2 linked regions of the Caenorhabditis elegans genome follow. The protein of the gene in region 1 purifies or fractionates together with the protein of each later gene. This does not show direct contact. Each region holds a gene or a part of one and is shown in the gene's direction. Other genes may lie near its edges.

Region 1 (4,317 bases):
TTTTTTTTGATTTAGAAGCTTTTGGTATCGTTGGCAAAATTATAGTTTTTTATTATTATTTAGGGAATTCACAATCTATTTCTGAAAATCCTGATCAGTTGCTGATTTGATATGCGATGTAAGAAATAAGAAACAGATATTGTAAAATGGGGAATGTGTAATAAACTCGGGGCGAACTATTGTTCGCCCTCTATTCAACCCACATTTCGCGCACACTCTGCAAAAGATTCTGGGTCTCCGCGAAGCGCGTGATGTAACTGTCTGTGTCTATGCCTCTCTGTGGGTGTTTGTATGTCTATCTATCTACACGTTCTTGCTTCTCTACCACATCTTATACTTGTGTGGTCTGCCCTCGCGAGAGTGTACGCGGCTCGACGGGTGTGTTGTGGCCGGCGGCGGCGGACGACGACCGCGACGCAGTATGCCGTCCATTTTGGTGTTTGAGAGTTATATACACAAATACAAATAACAAATAAAAAGAAGCGCTCATAAGGAGTGGAAGACTAGACAAAAAGTAAAACCATAATATTACTGTAAAGAATTTGGACTAAAATATATAAATCGGTATAAAATTACGTTAAATCTAAGTTTTTCTTGAAACAAATTTCTGTAAATCTAAATTTTCATTTTGAATTTTTTCAGTATAAAAATTGCCATCCACTTAGTTTTGGAAGTATTTGTAATAGATAACATTATTGTTCATATTTAAAAAAAAATTATCTTTGCGCCTGATGGAATTCTGATGTGAAAATGTTGGAATCTATCAATCGAGATTTCCTTTCTTTAACTTTTATCCATCCGTTCATTTGGCAAATGTGGAAACCATGAATCAAACAATAGAAATAAAAGTATTCTAAGCATTTCCGAAGAAGATGTGAATCTCAACTCAGAACATATCTTTGTGGTCCTGGGTACAATTTCAGTGCACAACACTTTTAAACACATTTTTGTTGATTTCTTAGCTTGTTGTTTGCCAGAAAGTTTTCAAAAATTAAACAAACTTTTAGATGTGTTGTAGTTTTTTAAACAATATTTTTCAGCCGGGCAAAGTAGGCAAAATGTTTTTTTTTTTTATTTTCTGCATATTTGGCAAACCGCCAAATAAAAAACTTGCCGATTTTGCTGAATATCTGAAACCCGTGGTTTTTTTTTTTCATTTTTTCCAATTTACTAAATACAAAATCGAACCCATCCTTTGAAGATCCTATAATTAACAAAAAAAAAGAAAGGAAATCTCTGAAAAATATAAAAAGAACACGAAGAAAATGTCAACACTATACAGTTGTTGATGGTTTTGCGTATAACAGCTGTTTTTGGTTTCAGCTTAAACTAGGTATGTCTTTGAAAGTACTTTTAAAATTATATATAAACTTTCAATAACTTTAAAACGTTGTTAATGATTATTATAATTCCTGTTTATATGTCAATCGTCAACTTTTTAGTGAATCATTACAAAAATCAGAAACAAATTTAAGATTTAAAATTCAGATCATTGCATGACAATGTTGCACAATTGCCCCACTTCCGATGCCAAGCGTTCACGAAGCATATCCTTATCGTCGCTGTAGAGTTATATTTTATATTCGTCTGTTCCGATCCGCTAAGGGATAAAATCAAATGGGCGATATATTAGTTGAAGGTGTGTGTGTACACTCAGGACGAGTGGGAACGATGTCAGCGCCGTGTAGCATCGTCGTCACTGAAGTCGAAGAAAGAAGACGGTGTGATGTGCGGATCGACGGGAGAGAGAAAGGGGCAAAATTGGAGAGAGATAAAGAAAAGTGAAACGAACTGGCATTTTCTGGCGGAGGATTCGTTGGAAACTAGGAGAGATGAAGAGGCGCGGACGACAACACAGTCGATAGGCGATGCAGTCCGTCCGGTGTCCGCTGCGCACCATACTGATCCACACTTTCTCCCAAAACATGCGGGTCTATTCGCTTATACTTCTCTGTTTCATTACTTTTGTCCATGGGCAAGAAAAAGCTGAAGTGGATATTCGAGTTTCAGGAGCATGTTCGCCAAGTAAGTTCCAAATTTATATCTCCCTTGTTCTGAAAAGCAAACCTAGATTCAAATTTCAGTCTACTTGTCGAGGAAAGGAATTGATATCAACAAGTACCGACCGAGTATTCGTTTCAATCCAGACAAGATTCAGTTAATTCCAAAGAATCCAGTCATTCCAGGGTGTATCAAAATTAAGGCAGAAGGTAGGTGAAATTTGCAACATCAATTCTGAACTAAGAAAATAAAAATTGTTTAATTTAAATTTGAACTAGAGCTAATAAGTATGCTGCAAGTTTTAGCAAAAAAATTCACCTGGTTTAATTTGAGTCTCAATATCATGCAAGTAAACAAATTTGGCATGCTTGCTTTTTATTTAAAATCAGAGGATTAAAGGAGGATACGTTTCTCAAGCACGGTAGGTCTAGGATCTATATTATGGTGCTCCTTCTTTGGGCTATTGTTGAAGCCACGGAAACTGTGAAATATAATCCAGTCATGAAATACTTCACTTCCCAGTACAGGCTGAATGAAGCTAGAGGGCAGGATTTGAACTTGTGACCTCGTGATTCCTTGCGGCCATCACTACCGACTGAGCTATCCCCGCCAAAATTGTCAAACTATTTTCCAAAATTCTTAAACCGTTTAAATAAAATTTACAGGAGTTGAAATCACGAGACCAACAAAAAATTTGATTGCCGAAGTTGAAATGAGAATCGGAGGAACTCCGGATCCAAACAATCCATCCCTTCCATGCTCGAAAAAAATCGACGAGAAGGTGAACCAGTGCCCGTGCGCCAAATTGGAAGGATCTTGGTAAGTTTGTGAAGCATATATTTAAACCTCAAAATTATTATTATTTAGCGTGTTCTGCGACTTCTGCAAGCAACTTAAGGCTCAAACGTCCAAAATCACACCTAGCAAGCTCAGCAGACCTGAACACAAGTTGATCGATGAGGATTGCAAGTATGCCATTTTGTTTTCACTCTCATTACTCGTGGTGTGAATAGTACAAGTTTTTGAACAACATCCGTTCCTCTACGGAAAGTGAAAGCTAGAACCGCGACGGGTTCGGATGTACTTGTCTGTTTGATTGATTTGTGATTTGGCAAAACTGCGGGTCTCTATAGCCTCTACAGTCTCGCAAAAATCATGTAATCATGTTTTCACTCACATCTATCACAGAAACATTGATCAATTAAAATATGTGTAATGAGTGTTAAGTTAAACATTTGAACCAAAAAGAAAAACGTGTGACCAACCGACGAAACGAGTTTGGTTTCAGATGTGGTGATATGCAACCAGGACTTTACGATATTGAGACAGAAATGTGCACACCAGAAATGGACGATTTCAAGGATTACATTCCACCAGAGATTCAGAACAACATCCTTGAAAAGAAGCCTGTAAGTTTTTCTCCTTTCTTCAATTTTCTTTATTTTTATTTTGTTAATCAATTGTAATATTCAGATTTCCATGTTCATCACTGTATATTTAATGGATATGGAGCCACGGTCTTCCAAAGAATCATATTTATCTGCGTTCGGAAAAGCAATTCTGCAAAGAAGAATGGCTCAGAGCACTGTTGCGTGCTTTTTACTTGGCATTGATGTCAAGCTCGCTCTTCCGTCGTTTGACTAAATCGCATATCTATTTATTTTTTTAATAATTTTTGCCTTCCAACACCTCCTCATTTGTAGCTTGTAAATTTCATCCGACTGCTCTTTCACTGTACGCCGAATAAAAACTATGAAAAAGTGAAACAAAAGTTCGTGACATTAGATGGCAATCGAATCGAAAACATCTTCATATCCTGTCTATCCTGTTTCTTTTCCTAGTGATAAGATTGAAATAGAAAGGCGCCGGTTCTCGAGAAGAAGCTGATAAACTTGCAATTCATTGTTCGCACTCTACACATGGAACTCTCCTTTCTAATAATATTTTGGTGTTTAACGTTTTGTGTTAAATGTGTAGCCTATACTTCTGATAAGAATTCAGAAGAAGACAACGGTTTCTACAAGTTTCTGTCGGATTCTTTTCAGGTATAATAACTTAAAATAATACTTGAGAGTTTACAAGTTCAAAAAACAATTATTAGATTTACTGTCTCCAATATTATTGTGATTTGGGATCCTCAATACCCGGAATCTCAACTTTTTTCTTGAGGTCCTTGTAAATGCTTAGAAACCATCTTCAAGATCTGTTTCGTAACGTCAATAGTGATGCTTGCCAAAAACTTGCCTTGACTTGCTAAAAACGGGAAAACATTGTTAATATTTAAAACTTATCGATAGCTTTTGTAGCATATTTAAC
Region 2 (4,358 bases), on another chromosome or scaffold:
TGTATGAATCTCACTACAATTAACATTATTTTTCAGTTTGAAGATTCAGTTTGTCTTGCTTATCCTGAACACAAACGCCATGAATATGATGATTCTCTCCGGCGACTTTTGAATACATCGTTTGAATATTCAAAATCTAGAGAATGTTTCCATGATGCTAATTTGATTCAAGAGAAGTGTACACATCTCAGAGATTGTTGTCCGAACTTTGATGAGTATGATTTTTTGAGTTTCTGATTCTCTTTTAAAACTGAATTTTCAGATGCCGTGAAGAAACTTTCGAGGTTGAAGTGGAAAGAACAATTATCAGCTTGACAGCTACAATAAATGAGATCAAACAAGAATGTGTTAAGAGAAAAGCCAAAGAAGCTGTTAAGGTATCTTTTTTCTATATATTTTCGTTTGTTTTGTTATCGGTGAACTAACTCTCTTATTTTTCAGAATGTTGTTCGACAACTCCTTCTAAATACAGATGCTGGTCAAAAACTTCAAGAAATTGCGCAACTTGGTTTAGACATTTCTCGGGGAGCCCGAGTTGTTCGAATGGCCAAATACAGAGCATAATCTATAAAATAATCAAATAATACTGTTTTACATTCCAATTAACTTTGCCGGTTATCTCACTGGTGCCAATTTTGTTTATTGACTTTCCGGTTTCGCTTTAATCATTTCATTCATATTTTCACGAGTAATTTAATAATTAATAACTTATTAATTTTTAAAAAACAAATGAAATATTTTTTTAAGGTTTCGACTTATGAGTGGGAAAAGTTTCAGGAATCGATAGCATATTATTTACAATTTTCTAATATCACATTGTTTCTTTTCACTTCCACCAAATGATAATTCCAGTACAGAAAAGAAGATGAACAGTAAATCGTGTTCTATTCTCCAAATGGTCACTTCCATTTCTCTCTTTCTACAGTTGATACATTGCATTCCACACTTGTAACTGAAATGACATGCTAAATGCCAAAGAAAAGATGAATGGAAATGCCAAATGAACGTTCCCCTCACACGCCTTCTTTCTTCACTACTTTTTCTTTTCTTTTTCAACCATTTTGTGACGAAGAACTGTTTTCGAAAAGAAGTATTAATTCCTCAATTTACTTCGGTAATGAACTTATTAGTAACACGATAAGTTTTGGTTTTCAGGACAGTATGCTTAAATATCTTTTCTCGTTTTTTCTCGGGGCAAGAAATTTGAAGAAATATCAAACACATATAAGTTAATATGGGTTAGTTGAGCACTGAAGATTATTTTCATATTGCTGATGTATCTTCCAAAGTCCTTTCAAACCACTTTCAAAATATTTTTTTAATTTAATTTATTTTTTCATATCTTTTCACCACAAAAAATGGAGAGCATTGAAACTTTTCAGAAATAACTAATGAATTAAAAACTTATAATAAACATTATAATGTTGATTTTTAACCTCTCTCGTGAGAATAGTTTCATGAAAAACTATTTCATTTGGAACGGAAATGTTTTACATTTTTGTATTCCAGAAATATTAATTGTTTTTATTGTTCCATTAATCAAATCACCAATGTTCAAAATATTTTGAATATCCAATTACTTATCGTTCATCTCACAATTTTCACCGGTCTGCACCCTAACTCGAACAAGTTTAATTTAAAATGGAAAAAAAAGAAAGAAACGCAGAGAAAACAATGTTCAATTAGCACTGGAAAAGATCGTTTTCGGTTCTCGGCACGACGCTCGTTGATTGACGATGTTGAGGTGATAAGTGATAAAAAAGAGAAAAAAGAAGGCTTTTCCTCTTTGTATTCTTCTTGTTTCTCATTCACTCACTCACCTTCTCCCTCCTTTTACATTCGATTTTTTCTGCCAACCTTGATTAAAAATCTATCCCTTTCACTAGTTATCTATCATATCAACCATTTCTAGTAGTTCCTTCTTTACTTTTTCCCGTCATTCTACCAATTACCCTTTCGTTTACTTTTTCCATTTCTTTTCATAAAATCATTTTCAGACTTTTCAGAGAAATGTCAATACATCAGACGTCATTTCTATTGTTCACACTTTTCAGTTTATTATCATTTTCAATAGGTTTGTTTCGTTCAATCAAAACACAATAAAATGCCATAAAAACAGGTTCCCAGACCCATATTCAGTTTACACTAAACATAACAATACCCTTTTCACGTATATCTTTTTTTCAGCAGCCGACACATGCCGGGACTTTGATAATAATTGTAGAGATTGGATTACTGTCAATCCAAATGCATGTGATTCAACTGAATATATTAAAAGAAGTTGTCTCAAGAGTTGTGGACAATGTGGAGAGGTTGATCCCAGTAGGTTGTTTCTTTATTTAAAAATTAAAAACTTCAGCTATTACACTTTATTAAAACACTAATGATAGTTTTAAAAAAGTGGAATTCTACATAAAAAATTTTCAAGAAATGACGGAAGAATTTTCACATTAGAAATTCAATAAAATTGAGCAAACAATCTGGAAAAATATTTGAAAGGGTAGTATTTAACATAATATTAGACTTCAAAATAGTAATAAACATTTAAACTATTATATTTTTAAATTTGCAATTTCTTGTGGTTCTAAAACTTCTAAAAACATACTATTATTTCAGAATACGATTTACGTCGTCTTTCTCAGGAACTCACACCAATTGGTTTCCTAGTAGGGAAATGGAGATCTGAACATGGAGGAAAAGTTCGTTTTTGAAACTGTCCAGATTCTTAAATTTAATAAATCTAGGCAATCTTCCCAACAATTCCGAAATTCACATTTGGAGAAGAAATCGAAATTTCAATTCCAGGCGATGCAATGCAATCGGCTCAAGCTCTTAACTACACGTAAGAAAATAACTGAAATTATGCCATGCCTGCATGCCGCCTATTATTTGGTGGTTGTACGAGGCAGGTAGGCATGTTAACGTTCACGTGAAAGGTTTATTGGAAATATTGCCGTTTAGATGTTTCAGATTCAGAAAATATTTAAATTTAGAGCGTTCGCATGGAGTGTAGAAAAAAGAGATGAGAAGAATCCAAACAGGTTTTCATATGTCATTTTTTGTTTTTATTTATTTTCCAAAAAAACCTATTTTTTTGTTTCGAACTGTTGAGTGTTTTGTCTTGGGATTTTATTTTTGATTCTGTCAATTCTGGTGGCTCTTCTATTTTTTTCGGAAAAGTGTACTTGTAAAAGGGAATTGGTGACAATAGAAATCTCAATACTATCTTCAAAATGCTCCGAATTTTCAGAGCATTTGCCTGGTCGATAAATGATAAAGATGAGTTGCACAGTGAATATGGATATATTTCTGTGAAACCAAACACAAAAGAAGTCGCACTGACAACTGTAATGAATAATGGTTTTGTGACAGTCGAAGAAGGTCCAGTCAATGGAAATCAAATTAGATTCCGGCTTAAGGATATCGGAAGAATTAGTTTCAGCAGAGATTTGCCTGTTCATGATGTAAGTTTTTAGAATAGTGTTTTTGTGTGTAGTCATAACAATGAAAACCAACAACAAAATTCAAAAACGCTCTAATTTCACATAATTCAATCAAACTCAAAATTTAAAATATTCAGCTCGTCCGAGAATGGACTCTTCTGGATCGATCAACACTTCAAGCCCGTCTGAACATGGAGACATTAACACATGGAATGCAGGAGCACACATTTATTCGTTACAACAAAATTGAGCCATAAACTGAAGAAAAACGTGTTTATCTCTTTCTATTCCACTTCTAGTCAACTACTTCCCACTCAATTGATTCCCCCTTTCCCCTTAAAAATAAAAACTCTTGCTGCTTTTTATGAGTTTTCCTAAAAGCTGCTAAATATGTATATAGCACCATCTCAAGAGTCACTGTATAATAGAATAGTGAAAATAAATGAGCTGTGAAATGAGCCAAAATGAAAAAGAAAAAGAAAGCAAATGAAGTGAGAAAATGGATGCAAGAATTGACACTTTTATTGGCAATTCATGAGGATTCTAACGATGAGTGAAGATGAAAGAGTAGACTAGCGGAGAATAAGGTTTTAGAAGAAATTTCGATGGGAGTTGATGACATTTGTGATTTTTAAACTTAAATTTTAACTTATCGCTTAGTGATCTTTAATCATAACCGACTTTAGCAAGTTCATGAAAAAAGAAACTTTCGATCGGCATTCGATCATAATTTTTAGACATATTATAGAGCATTCTCGTGTCTCCCCATAGTTGTAAATATGCAACCAGATGTCCGTTGGTGCAATTTAGTTGCTCATCAAGTTCTCTATGTCCATTTCTATTCTGTTCAACCACTTCATTTCCCCTTTTGACATTTTTCTATCTGTGAGAGCTTCATCTCCCATCGTTTCCTCT

The links. Proteins that work in one complex are often made in the same cells at the same time.
Region 2: the proteins of C26B9.3 (region 1) and C15F1.1 fractionate together in Caenorhabditis elegans (co-fractionation; one large-scale study listed by BioGRID). This does not show direct contact.

Annotation. Positions count from the first base shown.
Region 1 is NC_003284.9:5,336,419-5,340,735, forward strand, and holds C26B9.3 (uncharacterized protein), read left to right. Parts: upstream 1-1,900; 5' UTR 1,901-1,925; coding exon 1,926-2,025; intron 2,026-2,084; coding exon 2,085-2,210; intron 2,211-2,666; coding exon 2,667-2,820; intron 2,821-2,868; coding exon 2,869-2,970; intron 2,971-2,980; exon of another isoform or gene 2,981-3,120; intron 3,121-3,289; coding exon 3,290-3,410; intron 3,411-3,474; coding exon 3,475-3,645; 3' UTR 3,646-3,764; downstream 3,765-4,317. Other genes in the region: C26B9.2 (uncharacterized protein), read left to right, coding at 3,921-4,046.
Region 2 is NC_003280.10:6,987,883-6,992,240, forward strand, and holds C15F1.1 (ShKT domain-containing protein), read left to right. Parts: upstream 1-1,997; 5' UTR 1,998-2,010; coding exon 2,011-2,074; intron 2,075-2,187; coding exon 2,188-2,322; intron 2,323-2,374; exon of another isoform or gene 2,375-2,479; intron 2,480-2,616; coding exon 2,617-2,699; intron 2,700-2,744; coding exon 2,745-2,842; intron 2,843-2,993; coding exon 2,994-3,041; intron 3,042-3,250; coding exon 3,251-3,464; intron 3,465-3,580; coding exon 3,581-3,700; 3' UTR 3,701-3,805; downstream 3,806-4,358. Other genes in the region: C15F1.2 (uncharacterized protein), read left to right, coding at 37-215, 263-377, 442-564.